Linked DNA regions of Oryctolagus cuniculus. The protein of the gene in region 3 purifies or fractionates together with the protein of the main gene of each other region. This does not show direct contact. Links are inferred from orthologs where the notes say so. Each region holds a gene or a part of one and is shown on either strand. Other genes may lie near its edges.

Region 1 (7,555 bases), on a different chromosome or scaffold from region 3:
GGAGTGAGAAAGGGACAGGCATCTAGGGCAGCAGCCTAGGCTGCTGGTGCGAACACCCAACCCCGGCCTTGCAGGCATCTGCGAGGTGAGCCAGTGGATCAAAGACTCTGTCTCCCTTCCTTTCAAATAAAATACAAGTAGACAAACATTAGACAAAACGAATGAGGGATTATCCTAAACCTTAAGACTAAAGAGAGGGGCCAGCGCTACGGCATAGCAGGTAAAGCTGCCACCTGCAGTGCTGACATCCCATATGGCCGCTGGTTTGAGTCCCTGCTGCTCCTCTTCCGATCCAGCTCTCTGCTATGGCCTGAGAAAGCAGTAGAAGATGGCCCAAGTCCTTGGGACCCTGTACCCATGTAGGAGACCCAGAAGAAGCTCCTGGCTTCAGATTGGCTCAGCTCCGGCCATTGCAGCCAACTGAGGAGTGAACCAGCGGATGGAAGATCTGTCTCTCCCCTCTACCGGTCTATAACTCTACCTCTCAAATAAATAATAAAATAAAATCTTAAAAAAGACCAAAGACAGGACCGGCGCTGTGGCTCAATAGGCTAATCCTTGCGGTGCCGGCACACCGGGTTCTAGTCCCGGTCGGGGCACCGGATTCTGTCCCGGTTGCCCCTCTTCCAGGCCAGCTCTCTGTTATGGCCCGGGAGTGCAGTGGAGGATGGCCCAGGTCCTTGGGCCCTGCACCCGCATGGGAGACCAGGAGAAGCACCTGGCTCCTGGCTTCGGATCAGTGTGATACGCCGGCCGCGGCAGCCATTGGAGGGTGAACCAACGGCAAAGGAAGACCTTTCTCTCTGTCTCTCTCTCTCACTGTCCACTCTGCCTGTCAAAAAAAAAAAAAAAAAAAAAAAAAAAAGACCAAAGACAAATAACAGCCAAACATGCAAACATGGTGAATGAAGGCTGAACAGACCCTGGGTCGGAACAGAGCAAAACATTCTGGGGACAACTGAGGAAAGATGAACAGACTGTGTACCGGATGTTTTACTGCAGTATTAATTTTCTAGGTATGATGTTGTGGCTAGGTCAGAGTTCTTATTCTCAGGAGGCAGCCGCTGACAGTTAGGTACAAAGTGTCGTGCATAACCTCTGCTCAAACTCTGTAGCGCTTCAGCAAGAAAAAGTCTAAGGGGAGCAGGCACAGAAGCGCAGAATGGTGTGGAGGAGACCTATGTGGCGACTGAACAGTTCTGTGCACTGACTATGGTTACATGAACCTACACATGTGATAAAATGACATCCAACTGTAGATACCCATTGTACCAATGAGCATGTCCTGGTGCTGATGTGGCACCATATAGTTCTACGAAACATAACCAGTGGGGCAAACTGGTGGACTACATGAGGCCGCTCTGCACAATTTTTGCAACTTCCTATTAATCTATAAATATTTCAAATCTTAAAAAAAAATTTTAAGGTAGATACAGGTGTTTACATAGGTACAGTACAGTAAGGAAAACAAAGCAAATTTGGCAACATGTTACCAACTGGTAAATGTAGATGAACATGGAGTGCTCATGAACTATTTTTTCAACTTTTCCATAGAAACAAAAATTGTCAAGGGGCAGGCCTTTGGCACAGCGGTTAGGCCGCTGTTTGGGAGGCCCAGAGAAGCTGACAGGCTTGAGTCCCATCTGCTTCCAATTCCAATGTCCTGCTAATGTGCGCCCAGGGAGGCTGCAGGTGGTGACTCAAGGAGTCACCCAGGAGAGACTAGGACTGAGTTCTGCCTCCAGGCTTCAGCCTGCCTTTAACCTGATGGAAAATCTCTCTGCCTGCCACTCTGTCTTCCAAATAAACGTAAAAAAAAAAAATTCTACCTAAGGCCCGCGCTGTGGCGCAGCGGGTTAACACCCTGGCCTGAAGCGCTGGCAGCCCATATAGGCACCAGTTCTAGTCCTGGCTGTTCCTCTTCTGATCCAGCTCTCTTCTATGGCCTGGAATAGCAGTGGAAGATGGCCCAAGTCTTTGGGACCCTGCACCTACGTGGGGAACCCAGAAGAGGCTCCTGGCTCCTGGCTTCGGATCAGCGCAGTTCCAGTCCTTGCAGCCATCTGGGGAGTGAATGAACCAGCAGATGGAGGACCTCCCTCTCTCTCTCTGCGTAACTCTTTCAAATAAATAAGTAAATTTTTTAAAAAATTCTACTTAAATTTTTAAAAATTTCCAAAATTTGAAAAGAATCATTTTTTTAACATTTTACTTATATGGGGGTTAGCACTGTAGCGTAGCAGGTTAAGTGGGTGCTGGCATCCCATATGGGCACCGGTTTCTGTCCCAGTTCCTCCACTTCCAATCCAGCTCCCTGCTGATGTGCCTGGAAGGGCAGCCGAAGACGGCCCAAATGCTTGGGGCCCTTGCAACACGCAGGGGACCTGGATGGAATTCCTGGCTCCTGGCTTCAGATCAGTCCAGCCCCAGCTGTTGCACCATTTGGGGAGTGAACCAGCATATGAAAGATCTCTGTCACTCTGCCTTTCAAATAAATGAAATATTTTTTTAAAAGATTTATTTATTTGAAAGGCAGAGTAACAGAAAGGGAGAGACAAAGAAAGAGAGGTCTTCCATCCGTGGTTCACTCCCCAAATGCCCACAACAGCCAGGGCTGGGCCAGGCCAAAATCAAAAGCCTGGAACTCTACCTGGTCTCCCACACGGTTGGCAGGGACCCAACCTTGTGGGCCATCTTCCACCGCCTTCCTAGCACATCAGCAGGGAGCTGGATTGAAAACAGAACAGCTGGGATTAGAACTGGCTCTCTTAAACAGGATGCTGACGTCACAGGTTGCAGTTTAACCCCCTGTGCCACACAGCCAGTCCCAAAGAATAACACTGTAGTACAGTAGCCACACAGGTATGGCAAAACTTCCAAGGGTTGAACTCAAGACTGATCAAAATGTGGAAAACACTACCAGAGCTGTGCAGACTGTCACACGCCGTACTCCATCCAAGCCTTACACAGCTCTTGGGCAGGGCCAGACTCCCCCTGTTCTACTCGGGGAGGCAGGGGCGGACCCTCAGTGCCAGCTCAAGCCCAGACCTCCCTGCACACCACCACCTGACGGCTGCTGCCTCCCCGGCCCCATGGCTGTCAACAACACACAATCCCACAAATGGGTATTTCGAGAGCACAACCTTTGGAAACTCACTTTTGGTTGGTTAGATAGCGGTCCCAGCCACGAATGATATTGCCATACATCTGAGTGTCTTCCAGGTAGCTTCCTTCAAAAGCATAGATCTGTCTCTCCAAGTTGGCCAGAGTTTCCTGGGAGACGACAAGCCAGGCCGGGGATTAGCTGTGCCCACACTGAAAGCCTGACCCTGGGCTTATCATAAACCCAAACTCACCCACATTAAACTACCTTCGTGGAGGGCTGGAGGACTCCAGGAACGGTAGGCCATTCAAGTCCAAGAGTCTGGATCTTTCGGGGTGATGGCCCGACCCCTTTGGGAACAGAACGGACTCCACAGAGCCTGTCCCCAGGTAAACGCCCACACGTGCGGAATTCTGCACAGGGCTCTCGGAAACCCAAGTGTCAAGAACCGGGCCGAGGCAGAACAGGGGCAGGCTCCACGCCCACGCACAAAGGGGACCGCCACCAGGCGCGGAATGAGCGAGGCACTGGGCACTGCCCTCCCAAGGGCTCGGCGAGGCCGCCGGCCCCGGGCTGCCCGTTGTCATGGAAACCTGGAAGGGCGGCAGCAGGTGCGCCCAAACGCGGGGTGCACGTCACGGCTCCCAGTTTCCCAACCCGGTCCTCGTCCCCCGCCTGTCACCTTCTGGAAAGATCACACCCCTGCCCATCCCAGACACCCTCCCACGGATGGGCTCCTAGGACCAAAAGGGACCTACCCCCCCACCATCCTCTCAGAGACCAGACCGGCTCCCACACTCGGCTCATCCCCAAAGCCCACCCGCAGGCCGGGACCCGCCTCCGCCCGCGCCCACCCGCACGACCCACGACACCCGCCCTCTCAGGCGCCCGCACGCACACGCCCCGGCCCGCGGCGCCCTTCCTCCTCCGCGCCGCCGAGGCCCGCTCCCCGCCCCCTCCGGGCTCCGGCCGCCGCTCCGCCTCCGCACCGCCGGAAACGGCGCTCGGCGGCACGCGCCCCGGCCCAGGCCGCCGGACTCCCGGGCCGCGCGCGGCGTCCCCGGAGTAACCGACGGCCTGGTGCGGCCGGGCTGGCGGTCGGCGGCCGGGCGAGCGCGGGGCCCCACGCCGGAGCCCCGGGTCCCAGCCGCTCACCGCCAGCTCCTGCTTCCGCTTCACGAGCTCGGCAAGCTCCCGCCGGGTGTCCGGGATCTGCGGCGGCGCCGCCTTGTTGTGCATCGCCATGTTGGGCTGAGGCGGGCAGCAGCGGCGGGCGGCTGGGGGCGGGCCCTGCGATCCGCTGCCGACCGCCAGGGGGCGCCCGCTGCACTGCGCCTGCGCGAGCGGCTTCCGGAGACGCGCGCCGCCGGGCGCCGCGCTTGGGCGGGGCGCTGGGAAACCCTGCCCCGGGGATGGATCCGGCAGGTGGGGCTGCCGCACCTGCTGGGATCTGCCTTTCCGCACTAGGATTGGCCGGCGAGCTTTAGGGGCACCGCGGGCTCACAGTGTCCAAAGCCAGGCTCGTGCTTAGAGTTCCTAGTCATTCCCCTGGGGAATGACTTCACTGCCACCGAGGGGCCCGAGTCAGAGCCTGAGGGTTATCCTCACTCCACCCACCCTGGGTGAAGCTCCTGGCTCCTGCTTGGCTTGGCCCAGCCATGGCCATTGCAGCCGTTTGCGGAGTGAAGCAGCGTTTGGAAGACCTCTCTCTCTGTAACTCTGCCTTTCAAATAATTTTTTTTAAAGAATCCTTTATTTGGGGGTGGGCATTTGGCTCAGGAGTTAAGCGCCAGCTTGAGATGCTGGCGTCCCATATCGAAGGGCCCCAGTTTCAGTCCTGGGTATGTTGATTCCAGCTTCCTGCTAACCTGCACCCTGGGAGGCAGAAGGGGATGTCATGGGATCCTGCCACCCAGTTGGGAAACCTGGGTTAGGTTCTAGGCTCCTGGTTTGGGCTTGGCCCAGCCCCAGCTGTTGTGGGCATTTGGGGAGTGAAGCAGCCAATGGAAGCTCTCTGCCTCTCTCTCTGCCTTTCAAGTAAAGAAAGAAACGTCTTTAATCCTTTAAGTTTTACTATCTATATTCTCCATCTTGTCTATCTGCTAATTTCTGGAAATTTCTTTTCGTGTATAGATTTAGTAACCTGGGATCTTGCCAAGCTCCCTTATTAATTTTAGGAAGGGTTTTCTAGTCCAGATTCCTTGGAATTTTTTCTGTGACAATCATTTTATTTGCAAATAGGGAATTGTTTTATATTGTTACTCCTTCCCAATATGTATACTGTTTTTAAAATATTACTTTTTAAAGGCTTATTTTATTTATTTGAAAGGCAGAGTTAGAGAGGGAGAGAGACAGAGACAGAGACTATGAGATTGAGCGATCTTCCATCCACTAGTTCAATCCCCAAATGACCACAACATGACCATCCAGCCAGGCTGGATGAGGCTAAACCCATAGAAGTCTCCCAGATCGGTAGCAGGGGCCCAAGGACTTGGGCCATCCCCAGCTGCTTTCCTGGGCACACTTGCAGGAAGCTGGACTGGAAACGGAGTAGCTGAACTCCAGCCTGCACTCTGATACGACATGTGGGCATCCCTGGGAGTACCTTAAGCTGCTGTGGCACAACACCAGCCCTGAGTGCTCTTTACTCCCTCTCCTGTCTCACTGTGCTGATCAGCATTCCTAGTCATATATTAAATAAGAGTGAGGAAAGTAGACATTGTTGCCTTATTTCCTATCTTTGGGGAAAAGCACTCCATCTTTTTTTTTTACAGGCAGAGTGGACAGTGAGAGAGACAGAGAGAAAGGTCTTCCTTTGCCATTGGTTCACCCTCCAATGGCCACCGCGGCCGGTGCACCGCGCTGATCCGATGGCAGGAGCCAGGTGCTTCTCCTGGTCTCCCATGGGGTGCAGGGCCCAAGTACTCGGCCATCCTCCACTGCACTCCCTGGCCACAGCAGAGAGCTGGCCTGGAAGAGGGGCAACCGGGACAGAATCCGGTGCCCCGACCAGGACTAGAACCCGGTGTGCCGGCGCCGCAAGGCGGAGGATTAGCCTAGTGAGCCACGGCGCCAGCTAAGCACTCCATCTTTAACCATGAGGTACAATGTTAGCTGAAGGGGTTTGTAGGTACTGTTTATCATGATGAGAAAGTTCCTCTGTGTTCCTAGGGTACTGAGAGCTTTTATCATAAATGGTATTGACGTTCATCGGGTGTTTTTCTTGTGCCAACTGACACGTTCATATGAATGTTCCTTTGTTAAAGATGTATGTATGTATGTATGTATTTGAAAGGCAGAGTTACAGAGAAGAGATACATACATAGAGGGACAGAGAAAGGGATCTTCCATCTGCTGGTTCGCTTCTCAAATGCCCACAGTAGCCAGGGCTGGGTGAGGCTGAAGACGAGAGCCAGGAGCTCCATCCTCTACTTCCACATGGGTGGCAGGGACCCAGCCATTTGAGCCATCATCTGCTGCCTCCCAAGGAGCAATTACAGGAAGCAGAGCAGCTGGGACTTGAGCCCCGATATGGGATGTTGCAAGTGGGGGCCACACCACCAGCACGTGAGTTTTCTTCATCAGCTTTGGATTATGTAAAAATTCACGTTCAAATGTTGAACCAGGCGTGCCTATCTGAAATAAACCCTGCTTGGCCATCTTGTGTAACTTTTTAATATACTGCTGGATTCAGTCTGTTAATATTTTGTTGAGGATTTTTGCAGCTAACTTCATTAGAAATATTGATCTGCAGCTTTTCTTTTGTACTGTCCTATCTGTATTACAGGCATTTTAAATGAGATGTGAAAGTTTCCCTGATTTTTTTTTTTAAAGATTGATTTATTTTACTTGAAAGTCAGAGTTACAGAAAGGCAGAGGTGGATAGAGAAATTGAAGTCTTCCATCTGCTGGTTCACTCCCCAAATGGCCGCAACAGCCAGAACTGGGCCCATTTGAAGCCAGGAGCCAGATGCTTCTTCTGGGTCTCCCACATGAGTGCAGGGGCCCAAGAATTTGGGCCATCTTCTACTGCTTTCCTAGGGTATAGCAGAGAGCTGATTTGGAAGTGGAGCAGCTGGGTCTTGAACCGGTGCCTATATGGGACACCGGCATTACAGGTGGCGGCTTTACCCACTATGCCACAGCATTGGCCCCTGAATTTTTTTAAGATTTATTTATTTGAAAAGCAGGATTACAGAGAGAGAAAATAAGATACAGAAAGAGATATCCCATCTGCCACTCCCTATATGGTAACATTAGCTGGGACTGCGCCAGGCTGAAGCCAGAAGTTTTATCTGGTCTACCATGTGGGAGTGGGAGGGACTTGGGCCATCTTCCGCTGCTTTCCTAGGCACATTAGCAAGGAGTTGGAGCAAAAGTGGAGCAATCAGGTGCCCATTTGGGATGCTGGTGCTGAGGCACCAATTTAACCCCTTGTACCACAGCAACAGC
Region 2 (7,657 bases), on a different chromosome or scaffold from region 3:
GGGTGGGGGTGGTGGGGACAGCAACCCTAACCCTCCACCCCAGTGTTCATTTGACCTGACCCCCTATAAGACGGCGGAGCATCATAAGGACATCTGCCTCACTGTCACCACCAGCACCATCCAGGTGGAGCACCTGGCCAGCTCCTAGAGATCCGTGCTGCCGCCCACTGGGAAGAGGAGGAGGAAGCTCTGGTCCCTGCTTTCTCCAACTCCTCTTGGTAGAAGAAGTCCTCTTCTTCTTGACAAGCCTTGGCTACGTCTCCTTGGGCCTCAGGCACGGCTTTTTCATCATAAGACATCATCCTTATTCTCTACTCTTCAAAAGGAACATCAGCCTTCCTGATTGGCAAAGGAATACTGAGCTGATGGTGAATCCAGCAGCTTCCCCTCCCAAGCAAAGCTTTTAAATTGGGGGTTGGTGCTCAAGGGAAGGATTTGCTATGACCTCAAAAGAACTTGCCCTTTGTGGGTATTTGCCCTCTCCTCACCCTCCTCATCCTCAAAATTTGGGCTGATGTGGACTAGAGGCTGGCCCTTCCTGATCACAGAGAAGAGGGAGCCCTAGCTGCAACCAGCCTCCTGTTCTGTCCTTGCCGGCAAAAGAACAGAGGCTTTTCATGTGCCCGAATCCCTGAGGGCATTCTCTTCCTTCCATGATCTCACTTCACGATTTGGGGGGGGAATTAGACCTTTTCTTTCTAAGGGGGCAGGGGCTGAGATGTGGTCTCCAAGGGGCCAGACGTGAAGGGTGGCTTGGAAGTGTGGGTTATGGTTTTCCTTGGAGCCTCTCCCCATTCTCAGCCAGCCAAGGCCCTATACACTCAGTCTACCTATCCCAAACCCCAAGGAGCTGTGGGATTTTGTGTTCTCTGAAACTCCAAAACAAAGGGTGTTGCAGAGAAGGGGAGAGACAGGGCAAACACACGGACTGGACTTAGCTCCCCAGGTGCCACGGTCAGATGCCGGACACGGATTTATATATAAATATATATATAAATATATATATACCCACTCATCACGGCCATCTTTGTTGTAACCATTTCTGTGTTTATAAATGCATTATCTCTGAGAATTTTCATATTTGATGTTTTGTTTATTTTTGTCTTTTTTTCCTCCACCCTGTCTTCTGGCCATGACATTTTTGTTTCCTTTTGACTTTTTAAAAAAAAAATCATGGCAGATTTCAGAGAAAAGAGAAAATTTTAAAAAAATCAGGAAACAAGTTGTTATAAAGCAGTTTAAAAATGAAGAAAAAAAGAAACTTATGTACAAACTAAGGGGTGTTTTTAGAACATTGTATAGAAATAAATTCATGTAAAAGGATCAGAGGCAGTGGAGCTACTGATGTGAGCAAGTGGGACAAAGCTCTGGGGACATGTTCAAGGCCAGTGCTGAGGGTTTACGCCAGTGGGTGTATGAAGAGTGAGTGCTTGTGTGACGAGGCTCCATGTGTGTAATTCCCCAGCCAGAAAAGGATGCCCTTTCATTATCTCTTAAGTGAGATCTTGGTTTATGAGGGTTTCTACACACTAATTCTGTCATGAGGTTTGCATTGCCTAAATATGTGAGAATAGGGTTTCAGTTCTCACCATCAAAAAAAAAGAGAAATGGCCTCTCCAAAGGACCTATGATGGGCTCCAGGAATTGCAGTTGGCAAAGCGTGTACACACACACCCTGTGCACCTTCAACCAGAGGCTCCCAGTGGTGGGAACCCTCATGGGTGCAGGATTAACAATGCAGAATGGAGTTCTGAGGAGTGAGCATGGTCTGGAAGCTCATACCTGGGTCCGGACCCCACCACCTCCAGTGTTGGCCCCAGTGCCTCTTGGAGCTGTTAATGAAGGAATTTGGTAATTTCCAAGATTTACTTTCAAGAATTGAAGACTAAACAGAGAGTTGTGACCAAACTCCAACACCTGACAACTGGTGGATCTCTGGGACTACTTGGCAAACAGTGTTTGGCATGGCACAGATCCTTGGTTATTCAATAATGCCCACTTGATTTGCTGGGCAGGCAAGATAATGGCTACTGCTGCAATACTGAGCAATTAGCAAGTATATTTGGTGACCAAATATGCCAGTGTTTGGTCGCTTCCTGAGCATTTACTGCCTCTACTCACGGCAGAAAAGGGCGTGATGGTCTTCACCAATATTAGAACAGGAACCTTTTTAAGGATACACAGACACTGCAACAACCCTGTGAGGTAGGTACTGTTCCTACTGTATAGAAAGTGAAAAGTGCACAGATTACTTGTCTAAGGGCAAGGCACCTGTAACTTCAGAGGGGAGATCCTGTACCCTACCACTGCTCAGTGGCCAACTTGGGGGTCCACCTTGCCCTTCCACGTACTTATATTACGTGACTGAAAATATTAGAAACCTGCCACATGGCATTGATAGTAATTGCGATGGACGGGGTGACTATATAACACCACTAGTTGGTTACGGGTTTTGAGTTCTGATTCTCCCATGAGGTACAGCCCTGATGGAAAACATTGAGATCACTAGACTATAGCTGACCAGGGCGATGGCTGGCATTTAACTGGCCTAATTGTGGTAAGAGTTCCATGCCCCAACCCCTTCATAATTATGTTAACATCACATAAGAACTCAGAAGGGAAGCAAAACGTGAGATTTCCTCAGTGACACGAGGGTAAGGTCAGAAGCACTACATTTGTGCTGCTGATAAACGCTGTGCAAAATTACCTTTATTTTCTAATTGTATTTAAAAGCAGGAAGTTTATAAATAATGAATCAACTTGAGAAATAATCCAGGGGAGATGGTGTTCGTGTGAACACAAATACGGAGCGTTTAAATCTCAGAGCCTCATACTGCTTTCCAACTTCCTAGCTTGCCTAAAAGTCCTGTTTCAGCCGGGACCTCCTCTGCTTACCAGACTCAGACTCTGCAAAAGAAAAAAGTTGGCCTCCCTTCTTGAAGAAAAGAGACCTTTACGGGCCCAATCCTAAAGAGAAGCTTCTATCCCCATTACCACACATCGCCGTTTTGGAGGGGAAAAAAAAAAAAAAAAATTTGCAAGAGAATGCAAAATGGCGACCTCCAGTGACGTCATACCTGTCTCGGTCGCGTACTGGAGTCTCAGTAAGGGCGGAAGTCGGCCACAGCCGCCTCACTTCGGGCGCTCGTGGCTACTCACGCAAAAGGAAAACATCCAACGTCGGGCGGATGTGTCCGGGCAGGTAATTTACTAAGGGCGGAAGTTCTTTTAAGGGCGGAAATACTATGACCCAAGAATAGCTTCCGGGGCGAATCGGAAGTTGCTTTGTTTTGCTCCAAGATGGCTGCGGGGATGTATTTGGAACATTATCTGGACAGTAAGAGCAGGCTGGAGGAGGGGGTCAGGGGTCGTAGAGTGGTGTGGGGATTGGGGCTGAGAGGATCTGTGGTCCCGAAGTCCCGGCGGTGAGCAGCTCCTAATTGTGCAGGGGTTCCGTGGGAGGCAATACTGAACGGTGTCAAGAAAGAGGGGGCGGGGCAGTAGGGTCGAGGCCTCTGGGTTGAGGGTCGGCGAGGGAGGACTTGCGCGGAGGGTCTCAGGATTTGTCTTAAATGGCTGGTCGACGAAACACGGAAGATTTTGCCGCTCCAGTTCTTTAGGGTCCCCAGCCTCGGGGTAGATTGGTTCCCCCCGGGGGTGGTTCAGAGTCGGTGTCACCCACTGCCTTTTGGAGCAACGGCCAAGACCTGCTCTAGTCTCCTGGTTCTTTCCCAAGTGGTTTCTCTTGAGGCTGGGGTGGTGTTGAGTGACCGCTATCAGATGGTGAACCGGAACGCTTCAGGGAGTAAAGGTCTGATTCCCTTCAAATGGAGATTAGTGCTGTTTATGCCGTTAGTGTAACCCACCCCTTCACAAAGCCTGGCCCCTGCTGCACTTACGTTTGTCTTAGTGTCACCAGTCATTCATTCGACAAATACTGAGTTCCTGCTATGGGTCAGACATAGTGAGGATTTTTTTTTTAATTTATTTATTTGAAAGGCAGAGGCAGAGAGGGAGAGGGCTTCCATCCACTGGTTCACTCCCCAAATGGCCACAATGGCCAGAGCTGGGCCTATCCAAAGCCAGGAATCTGGAGCTTCTTCCAAGTCTCCCAGTAGGGTGCAGGGGCCCAAGGACTTGGGCCATCTTCTACTGCTTTCCCAGGCCATAGCAGAGAGCTGGATTGGAAGTGGAGCAGCCAGGACTTGAACCAGCTCCCATATGGGATGCTGGCACGCAGATCAGAGCTTTAACCTGCTGAGCCACAGCGCTGGCCTCATGAGGATATTTTTTAAAATGAGGAAGACACAGGCCCTGCCCTCAAGAAGCACGTGATCTAGTAGAAGTCAGATGTTGCAAACACTCATATATATATATATATATATATATTTATAAAAGTGTGGCAGGAAATATTACAGATATAAGTACAGTGGTTAACAGTAGAGAGAAAGGGGCTAATTACCTCGGGATGTAGGTGAGGCTTTGCAGAGGAGGCAATATTTGAACAGAATCTTGAAGATTTAACTGTTTACTTGCTGTATGGGGAAGGAAAGGTAATGCTGTGGCAAAGGTATTGTGTGATGTGCTTGTCGCAAGATCATGGGACGATGAGGTCAGAGTCTGATATATACAAGGAGACATCCCAAAGCTCATGGAGAATAGAATTAAAAGGTGTTTATTTTGGTCCAGGTTTTTTATTTGAAACATTTATTTACTTGAAAGGCTGGGTGACAGAGAGGGAGAGAAAGAGGTCTTCCACTCTCTGGTTCACTGCCCAAATCCCTGCAACAGCCAGGGCTGGGCCAGCTGAAGCCAGGATCCAAGAGCTCCATCCAGGTCTCCCCCATGGGTGGCTGGAACCCAAGGACTTGGGCCATCTTCTGTTTCCTTCCCAGGCACATTAGCAGGAAGCTGGATTGGAAGTGGAGTAGCTGGGACTTGAACTGGCCCTCTGATATGGGATGCTGGCATTGCAAAAGGCTGCTTAACCTGCTGCACCAAAACACTGCCCCGACCCAATTATTTTTTAAAATCCTGGCGTATATGAGATCCTCAGAAGGCTCATGGCAAGTGCATATTCTGAAAAATATATGCATTGAATTCAGTCTTTTCTGGACCAGAACTTTTTTTGAAGATTTATTTATTTATTTGAGAGTTGGAGTTACAGAGAGGGAGAGACAGAGAAAAAGGTCTTCCATCACTCCCCCAAATAAATAGCTGCAACAACTGGGGCTGGGCCAGGCCAGAGCCAGGAGCTTCTTCTGGCTCTCCCACATGGTGTAGAGCTGGAGCGGAAGTGGGGCAGCTGGAACAACCTGGTGCCCATACGGGATGCCAGTCCTGCAGGCGTGGCTTTAACCTGCTGTGCTGCAGTGCCAGCCTCAACCCGATTTTTCTGTATTCTGTTTTTCCATTAATGTGTTAAAGTACTGTCACATGACCCTAAAAAGAGAGCTTGGGAAATGAGACTAAAGGAGGAGGCTAGAGCTAGATTGGGCAAGCTCTTTTTTTTTTTTTTTTTCCTAAAGATTTATTTTATTTTTTATCTGAGAGGCGGGGTTACAGAGAGGGAGAGACAGAGAGAGTGAGCGAGAGCAATCTTCCATCTACTGGTTCACTCCCCAAAGGGCCACAACAGCCAAGGCTGGGCAAGCTAAAGCCAGGAACCTGGAACCTCCAATCTCCCACATGGGTGCAGGAGCCCAAGCACTTGGGCCATCTTCTGCTGCTTTCCCAAGTGCATTAGCAGGGAGCTGGACGGGAAGTGGGGGGCCATGACTCAAACCAGTGCTCATATGTGATGCCAGCACTGCAGGCAGCAACTTAACCTGCTACGCCATCGCTGGCCCCTGGGCCAGGTTTTTTCATCCAAGCTAAGAAGTTTGGATTTAAACTCCAGTGATTATTTTGAGAATAATGCTTTGTGGGTTTTTTATTATTTTTGTTGTTTTAAGATTTATTTATTTATTTATCTGAAAGCAGAGAGAGAGAGAATGAGATCTTCCTGGTTCATTCCAGCAAGTGGCTTCAGTGGCTAGGGCTGGGCCAGGCCAAAGATACGAGCCTGAAGCTCCATCTGGGTCTCCTACGTGGGTGTCAGTGACTCAAGCACCTGGGCCGTCTTCTGCTGCTTTCCCAGGCACATTAGCAGGGAGCTGGATCAGAAGTGGAGCAGCTGGGGCTGGAACTCGTGCTCTGATTTGGGATGCTGGATCACAGGCAGCACTGTGCCACAATGCTGGCCCTCAGTGTTATTTTTATAAAGGAAAATAAGCTACGTATGATAAATTGGATCCAGATAAATTTGGTAACGTGGGGATCAGTTAGTGAAAACAGTCTGGGTCAGAGATGTGGGCCTGATCTCAGAGAGTAGAAGTTAAATATGCCAGGAGTTAAATATGCTGACTGAACGAGGGGTTGAGCAAGAAGGGAGAATTTCCGGTGACTTCTTCCTGCTGGAAAGTGAGGCTGATGTGTACCATCAGCAAGATGGGAAATCCAGCAGAAACAACAGTGTGTTTAATTCCATTTAGAGGTAAGCATAGGACTGGTTATTATAGCTATGAGGGCAAACAAGATTTTTCAGGAAAACAAAGTGAGAAAATGAGAGGACTGAAGTGTAATCTCAAGAAAACATTCACATTGAAAGGACAGACCAAGACATGTCAGTGTTGAAATCACCAGGAGGTGTATAATCAGATGTGAATCCTGAGAGGCAGGAAGTTACTCCAAGGAGGGAAGATGGTGCCAGCTGCTGCATGACATTTATTTTTCGGTTATTTTTGAATTGTAGAGAAGGCAATCTGCCCTCCGCTGGTTCACTTCCCAAATGCCAGCAACGGCTGGAGCGAGTCAAAGCCAAAACCAGGGCCAGGAGCTCACTATGGGTCCCCCATCGAGTGTCAAAGATCCGGCTGCTTGCAGCATCACCACTGCCTTCCAGGGTGCACGTTAGCAGGAGTGTGGGAGCGGAAGCAGAGCTTGGACTCCACCCCAGGCGTTCCCACACAGGTGTGTGAGTCCAGAATTGCATTTTAATTGTTAGGCCAAACATCTACCCCTGCACAGATTTTTTTTTTTTTTTTTTTTTTAGAATAGAAGTAATAAGAGATCGTTTGATTGGCTAAGTCATTTTTGATTTGAAGCACTAAGTGACTTGGCAATAGCAGGCCTGAGGTGCGTTAAAGCAGTAGAGGCATTTTGAAAGTTTGAGGTAGAGTCATGGGAAGAGAAAAAAATGTTCCTTTATGGAAAAATAAATTATTACAAGTATTTATTGAGTACCTTCTGTATGCAAGGCATAATTCTAAACACTAGGGAAATAGGTGAACGAGACAGACTTGTCTCTGCTCTTGTGGAGAGCTAGGGAGACAGATACCAAATAACTAATTGTGTAGTTACTAAAGCTGGATAAGTGTTTTAAAAAAATTGAAGTAGGCTGGCGCCGCAGCTCACTTGGCTAATCCTCCGCCTGCGGCACCGGCACCCCGGGTTCTAGTGCCGGTTGGGGTGCCGGATTCTGTCCCAGTTGCTCTTCTTCCAGTCTAGCTCTCTGCTGTGTCCCGGGAAGGCAGTGGAGGATGGCCCAAGTGCTTGGGCCCTGCACCCCCATGGGAGACCAGGAGGAAGCACCTGGCTCTTGGCTTCGGATCGGCGC
Region 3 (6,961 bases):
AATTGGAGAGAGGGATTAATTTCAGCAAGACTTGAGTCCAGGAAACCAGACAAGAGGCTGCTGCTAAAAGTAATTATGGGAGAAATGAAGAGACCTGATCTATATGGCAAGTGGCACTGGGACCTAGAGAAGCCAAGAATATTGGGTCAGTTACTGCCATTTGGCTATGGGACTTGAAGAGATGATTCACAAGGAATTCCCATGACTGTTAACAGGGGGGAAAAAAGTATTTCCAAAATCTCAGGTACCTGTGTACATCCAAAAGGAAGTGCCCAATAAGCATCTTTTAGAACCCAGGAAAAGCTACACTGCAGACATACCAAACCAGCAACAGAGAAGAGCTGATGTCAAGGAAATGGACCAGACAACAGATTTGCTTGTGTCCTCTTTTTCAATGACCAGGCCATCAAAGCCCTTCACTGTCAGCCTCCACTAGAACACATTATCTAATGCAGTTCTTAGCATTAAAACAGAATCATACAAGGATTAGAGACTTCAACCTTGAAGTTAATTGCAAAGTTTGTTGCAGATGGCTAATGTTTCAAAGGTAGAAACTGTTTTCTAAGCAATGCCGGTGAAAACATGAACCATGAGTCCCTAGTGCCACATTTCCCATCACAGATTGCAGAACTGCCAATGATAGGGCCTTCCTTTGGCTCCTGGGGACTTAATTTCCCTAGGGAACTATTGTGGTTATTCAACTTTAAGACCTTGTAGGAAGAATCATAGTTATTTCCCTCTCGGGTCTTGCTCAGAGAAAGCAACATGGAAGTAAGCAGTCACCAAGGAGAAACAAGACAGAATAAACAAGCCTTTAGCAAAAGAGACAACTCATGTTTTCAAGAAAAGACTAGCCAAATTTCTGTAGAAATTACAAATTAGACTGGAGCCAAAAAGCTACCCTGTTGTTGCTCCTAATCGGCTTAATCAGCATGAGAAAGAATAATCCACACCAGTTTTGCTGTTCCAACCCAAAGAGGAAAGAAAGGTGCATCTCAGTATATGCTAATTTCTGCATGCAGTACAATTCAAAACTAGAAATTTCTGCATATGCCTAATGCAGTGATCTTGGACAAGTCACCTTTGTGGAATGCAGGTAATCTCTCTTCTTGCCCTTGTGTCCCAGAGCTTTGTGATCAAAGCAAGCAGTTAATGAAACCTCTCAGTTTTTTAAAGCACCTTATCAATGCAACCTTCCCATCACTCAGGAATAACATCTTGCCTCAGAAGGCTCATCAGTTTATGTTGCCAGTCAGTACCTTGCACCTAATAACCTATCACTTACTAAAGGCATACTGCGTGCCACTCTATGAACTTCCTTTCAGTATCACAACACACTAAGACTAAATTGTTATCCTCTTTTTACAGATGGGAAAATGAGGTTCATAAAGGTTAAGCGATTTGGCCAAGGTCACATGGCTTGGTAAACTGTGGTTCAGCCATCAAACCAAGGTCTCTCTAACCCTGAAGTCTATGTAGCTTCAACAGTGAGATGTTTTCTGATCCAAATTTTACCAGGTACTTCAAAATGTTAATGGGAAAATAAAATTAAATGTTTAAGTATATTTTGGTGCAAAAACTTGACTTGATAATCCCTAGTTTTTCCATATACACATTTTCTGCAAACTTGTTGAAGTACCCTCATATTCTGGAAGGAACTCCAGATGGGGAAGACTAAAATCAAACCATTATCTTTTTCAGTCTCCTCTCAGAGTTGAGCCAGAAAGCACCAATAAATCTGGGCTTTTGCACAGTTCTGATCTGTTCCCTACTGTTCTCATTTCTGATCTACACTCCAGGACAATAAACAAGCACCAACTCAGGATTACTAAATCATAATACACCTTTAACTATTTAGCCAAAAGCAGATTTCAAAAGACAGTTAAAAATGTATTGCAAAATGTACAGCATTTATTCACATACAGACAAAAAGGCACAAATTCTACTAAATAGTTCAACAAAAAAATACAGCTGTCCTCAACTAGTTTTATAAATACTTTCAAAAAGGGGGTAGAAATAAATACAGGATTGGGCCATGTAATATAAAATAGTCATCTCTACATATACTTTGTTTAATTTCTGATTTTTTACTCTTCATGCACCTTTTATTTCAACTTTAGCTGAATGGACACCAAGCTAGGCACATAGTGAAAAATCCTCTGTACAAGGTTACAAATGTAATGACAAGTCTGTCCATTTCAAAATAATTAAGATTTGTACACAACACATAAAACCCTTCATTTAAGATTTTGTGTTTATAACCTAACAAATGACATTCCAGGCAACTTTACAAAAGTTTAACTAGCCTACATTTTGACATAATACATTTGATCATAATCAAAGATATTTCTTGGTCAGGATGCACAAGGAAAGATAAAGCTTAACACAAAAAAAAGAAAAGGAAAAAAAAGGCCAATGGTTCTGTACTAATAGAATGCAAGTGGGTAGGCTGGCTGGTTGCTGCTTATGGCCACCTCATACAGAGTTCCCAGCATGACATGAAACTAACTTACAAAGCTATCATTATACTGTCAGAGAAACCGTGCTCTATACCATTTGCATTTTGAAGCAGGAATAAAAAGTGGACTTTTTATTTTTTGTGTGTTTTGTTTTTGTGTGGGCTTTTTTATTTTTTTGTTTTTGTTTTGTTTTGTTTTTGGTTCAGCATAACTTGGAACATTTGAAAGCTTTTCAACCTAAACATGGGGAAAAACAGGTAAGGCATTACTTTTGCACAAAACTAGCATTCCTAATAGTGCAAATGAATCTGGTACCTCTTAAAATGGTGAGAGGTCATACATTTACTAGATTAATTTAGATTTTCTCTCTATGGCTTGACAAATTATTCTTCTATAAATTCTACTCTCACCCAGAGCTGTTACTGTAGTCAAAAGATAACTGTAGAGTCCAACCTTCTCCTATATCCAGCAAAAGGTTTTTGCTCTTATGCAAAAAAAAAAAAAAAATCTCATTTTTAAATTATGCTACAAGTGAATGTACAACTTGGATTCATAAGAACCTCCTAATATTTGTAGCAACAAGCTGATCTGGACAGCAGTCTTTCAAACTGAGCCCCATAGCTCAAAAATAGTCAATCTAAAAACCTGGGTCATTCTTTCACCTCCCCTGAATTAGCTACTAAAATGTACTCAAAAGTTAAGACTTGGTTTGAGAATGTCATACATACAACGGGGATGCATCAGATCTGTTATCTGATCATCTGGTAAAACTTGCATAGCAAGATGGAATTCAATAAGCCTTTTTTGTTGTTGACGATCATCTGGAAGACTTGAAAGTTAACTACAGAACTCAAAGCATTTATGCATTAGGTATTAGAATGTCCCTGCCACATGGAAACAGATGTAAAAATGAATCAAGAATCTGGGTACTGCTATTAACAAACTAAGGGGTAATTTAGGGGAAGTCGGGCTCATTCCAAATGCTCATAATGCTATTTAAACTTTCCTTCTGTTAAGTTTGATTCACAACTACATTGAATTCCAAAGAAAATTAACAGGACCTTAACGCTATCCACTGTCTTAATACATACGCACTACATTGAGTGCAAAAAACAACATTGTACTCAAATTTAATGCTAAATTTATTATTGCTGATAACTTACTATTTATTGCCATTTGCAATTAGAAAGTCCAAGTTACGAATTAGAGTTTAGAACTCTGACTCCAGAAAACTATTCAAGGGTACACATCAATCTCATTCCTGTATAACCTTGGTCAATGGTAAGAGCTTATCGCAACTTATTGCCTTTCTATTGTTTTGAAATATAACCTATTTTATTTTTTCTTTTTTTTTTCTTTTCTTGTTTTCCTTTTTCTTAAGGAATCCGTTCATGTTGGAAGCCCGGATTCCCCAACATACACACTAGAGACTGGCTCTGGGAAGTATGAGTAACCAGAGTCTCGAAGTTCATCGCTTAAACTTGAATAGCCATTGTGCTGCTGGAAGCCAGACGGCCAGGTATTGGCAATGGCCAGGGAAATCCCAAGCTGGCCCAAGAGCCAACAGTTAGGGAGGAGGAAGGTCAAGAGGACTGGTAGAAACTGGACCTTAACTGCCCTTTCTCAGAGATAGAACCCTCCTAACAGCTTCACACTCCATCAGTTCTGCACCCACAACCCACTCAGGCGCATCAGGCAGCAGGACGTTGCAACATTCACCCTAACCCTCCGAGCCGCAGCAGCTCTACCCTGTCCCTTCAGCAATTCCAACCATGACCATCGTTTAAATTCTCTTGCTTGGCTGCTGCGTCTACACGTGAGTTTCCCCAGTGTTAGTGAAGCTTCAGAGCTGCTGCCTGCATACTATCATGCAACAAAAAATAGCCTTGCGGGCCAAATCGATTTCAAGATCTACCGCAGTCCTAGCAAATAAGCTTTACGGGCTACAAATGGTACGTAAGGGTGTCTCAAGAACCACATCTGATTCCGTATATTCAGGTTACCAAGAGTTTGTGCTTTGGGAAGAATGCAGAGAGCAATGAAACTTCAGGAGGCTTACTGAAGCCTTGCTCTCTTAAAAACTTAATTCATTCTTGTTTTAGTGTTTAGTTCAGGTTCTCCTCTTAGCAGTGTCTTATGGTTACAATCTACTCTTCTGTTTCCTCAACAAGTTGCAAATAACACAAACTTCTCACAACAATGATTTCTAAATGACTCTGGAAAAAAAAAAAAATTCAATCTGAATTGCAAGTCAATGTGTTTGTGTAGCTCAGGAGTACCAGGTTTCTGCTTGTCCCCTGCATCAGAGCTCCCCCCAGCACACCCAGTGCCAAGTTCGCCGGGCTCCCAGGCCATCCCTGTCTCCTCAGGAGGCCAGGATGCTCCTCCGGATAATGTCTGTCCTCCTGCCGATGGTGCTGCTGGCGTGGAGACACTTCTTTTCTGATGCCTCACTCTCTGAGTCACTCATTTCCACATCGGGGACATACCCGTCATTCTCACTGTCGGGTTTTAACTTGCTTTTTGCCCTTTCCTTGGCTGGAACTCGGCCGAGGCCCAAGTATGGGTAGTCTGAGTGCTGGTGGCAGGCCCCCTCGTGGGCCTCTCCCTGCTGTTGCCGCTCCCCCTTCTTTGGAATCCGGAATCCTCCCCAGTTCTTCACTGGGCTGGCAGGCGTTGTAGGCACTTTGACTGCAGTCTGATTATAGTTCACTTTGATTAGGGAGCCATTGCACTTGGGCACCATCTCCTTCCTCATGCCGGGTGCTGACTGCCCTGCTCCAGCGGAAATGGCAGCTCTCGTGTTGTCCAGATGCCTCTGGGACACGTCTGTGGACCTGAGAGGCTTGTGACTCTGTTTAAAAGGTTTGTCCTTTAAGTCTCCTTTAATGAGATCACAATGGAAACGATTGTCTCTTCTCTTCCCGTGGTCTGGTGTCACTACCCCATTTTTCTGTTGTGCTGACGATATGAGACGTGCTTCTGCAAAGGTCTTTTCAAAGCTCAAAAAGCTCTCCGGGACCACAATCCCCTCCCGCCTACCACACGGGTCTGGCTGCTTGAGCACAGCTTTGCCTTCGCTCCCAGTGCTGTTGGGCAGTGCATCTCGCTTGTGGGGCTTTTTCAGTGAGTGAACCAAGGAAGTACCCATTTGTTTTCTGAAGAACGCAGAATGCCACTTCAAGTCTTCTATCTTAGGAGCATCAGGCCCCACAGAAGGACTGTTAAACAAAAGCATGTTTTCCAGTGAGGAGGAGGCGCAGGAAGAAGAAGGCACACCTGTGAATATAAAAGCACAAATACAGAAGAATTACAACAGAGGCGCATCCAAAGGAGTTAAACTCTAGACCCTTTGGGTAGACCAACTGATACGAACTTTCCCGCCCAGCAGTTCAATATGCCGCCACCAGTCCGTCAAAATTCAGTTTTTATCCTATCTCAAGCTGATGACCTGCCTTGGAAATTTTCCATTCAGTCTGCATTAGGAAACTTTGTTTTTCTAAAACAGCTGAGGCTCACCTAAGTTTTCAGGTTTTCAAGGAATACATTTTCCTTCAAACAAAGTAACTGATCGTCTAAGGGAAATCCCTGCAGAACACATCAGGTGGGCAGCGGCTGCCTCTCCTCCCTCTCCCCAGGTGCAAAGCAGCAACTGCTCCAGGGGCCACAGCTGCTGTGTCCGGACCCCTTCTCCCCAGGGAAACTGACAGCACCAAAAAGGCAGGGAGGAGGACCACTACATTTAGTTTCTTTCTCCAGTGTCTACACCCTGGCAGGGTTATTTTGAGGATAAATACGTGTAAATACATAAAATGAGCAAACATGTCTAAAAGTTGATACATAACGTTCTCAAATTTACAGGATTTGTCTGAATTGTCATCCACCTTGAGGGTAAGTTAAATTCTTCATCTAAATCTCACAGTGGAACCTAGTCAAAGGTCACGTTTCGTGAACTATTACTAATCCACATCTCCTGAAAAGTACGCTGACATTTCCTGTTCTTTTTCACTGGTTCCGAATGCTGGTCATGATCCACAGAAGTCATCTCACAACTCACTGAAGAATCATCACCTCCCATTGCAAACACACAGGTGACTTCCTGACACACCAGAATGCATCAGAAGCACCGAGAACCTCAAGCGCATCCACAGAGCAGCTCTCGTGTGTTCTCTCTGATACTAAAGTACGAAACACCAAAAAACAAGGCGAGGCGGGAGCCCATTCAAGAACTCGCTGCTCATCAGACAAGGCCACTGCAAGCAAACAAGAGAACACAGGTAGAGACTCAATACAGAACTGCCATTATCACAAGGGCGGGTTCCTTCACAATCTGCAGGTTTGGAAATGTCTGCTTTCTCAAGAACCAATCATTAGAGTCAACCTCCTGCCACACCCAATACGCTGCTTTTTCGGAATCATCTCCCATGGAAAACAGGTAAGGAAGGGCTAACATTTTCTTGTCTCAGAAGAGCCTCTGCCTCAGGGCTTCCATTAGCTCTGTT

Evidence for each region. Proteins that work in one complex are often made in the same cells at the same time.
Region 1: the proteins of JADE1 (region 3) and MEAF6 purify together in Homo sapiens (affinity purification with mass spectrometry; 5 studies listed by BioGRID and IntAct, counting the BioPlex papers as one, with this or other methods). This does not show direct contact. The link is inferred for Oryctolagus cuniculus from reciprocal best matches to the Homo sapiens genes JADE1 and MEAF6.
Region 2: the proteins of JADE1 (region 3) and ING4 purify together in Homo sapiens (affinity purification with mass spectrometry; 4 studies listed by BioGRID and IntAct, with this or other methods). This does not show direct contact. The link is inferred for Oryctolagus cuniculus from reciprocal best matches to the Homo sapiens genes JADE1 and ING4.

What each region holds. Positions count from the first base shown.
Region 1 is NC_091438.1:135,239,765-135,247,319, reverse strand, and holds the start of MEAF6 (chromatin modification-related protein MEAF6), read right to left. Parts: upstream 4,429-7,555; 5' UTR 4,349-4,428; coding exon 4,259-4,348; intron 3,697-4,258; exon of another isoform or gene 3,411-3,696; coding exon of another isoform or gene 3,357-3,410; intron 3,274-3,356; coding exon 3,158-3,273; intron 1-3,157.
Region 2 is NC_091440.1:102,847,286-102,854,942, forward strand, and holds the start of ING4 (inhibitor of growth protein 4), read left to right. Parts: upstream 1-3,229; 5' UTR 3,230-3,300; coding exon 3,301-3,337; exon of another isoform or gene 3,338-3,425; intron 3,426-7,657. Other genes in the region: ZNF384 (zinc finger protein 384), read left to right, coding at 1-148.
Region 3 is NC_091439.1:35,888,614-35,895,574, forward strand, and holds the end of JADE1 (protein Jade-1), read right to left. Parts: intron 5,739-6,961; coding exon 4,825-5,738; 3' UTR 1,890-4,824; downstream 1-1,889.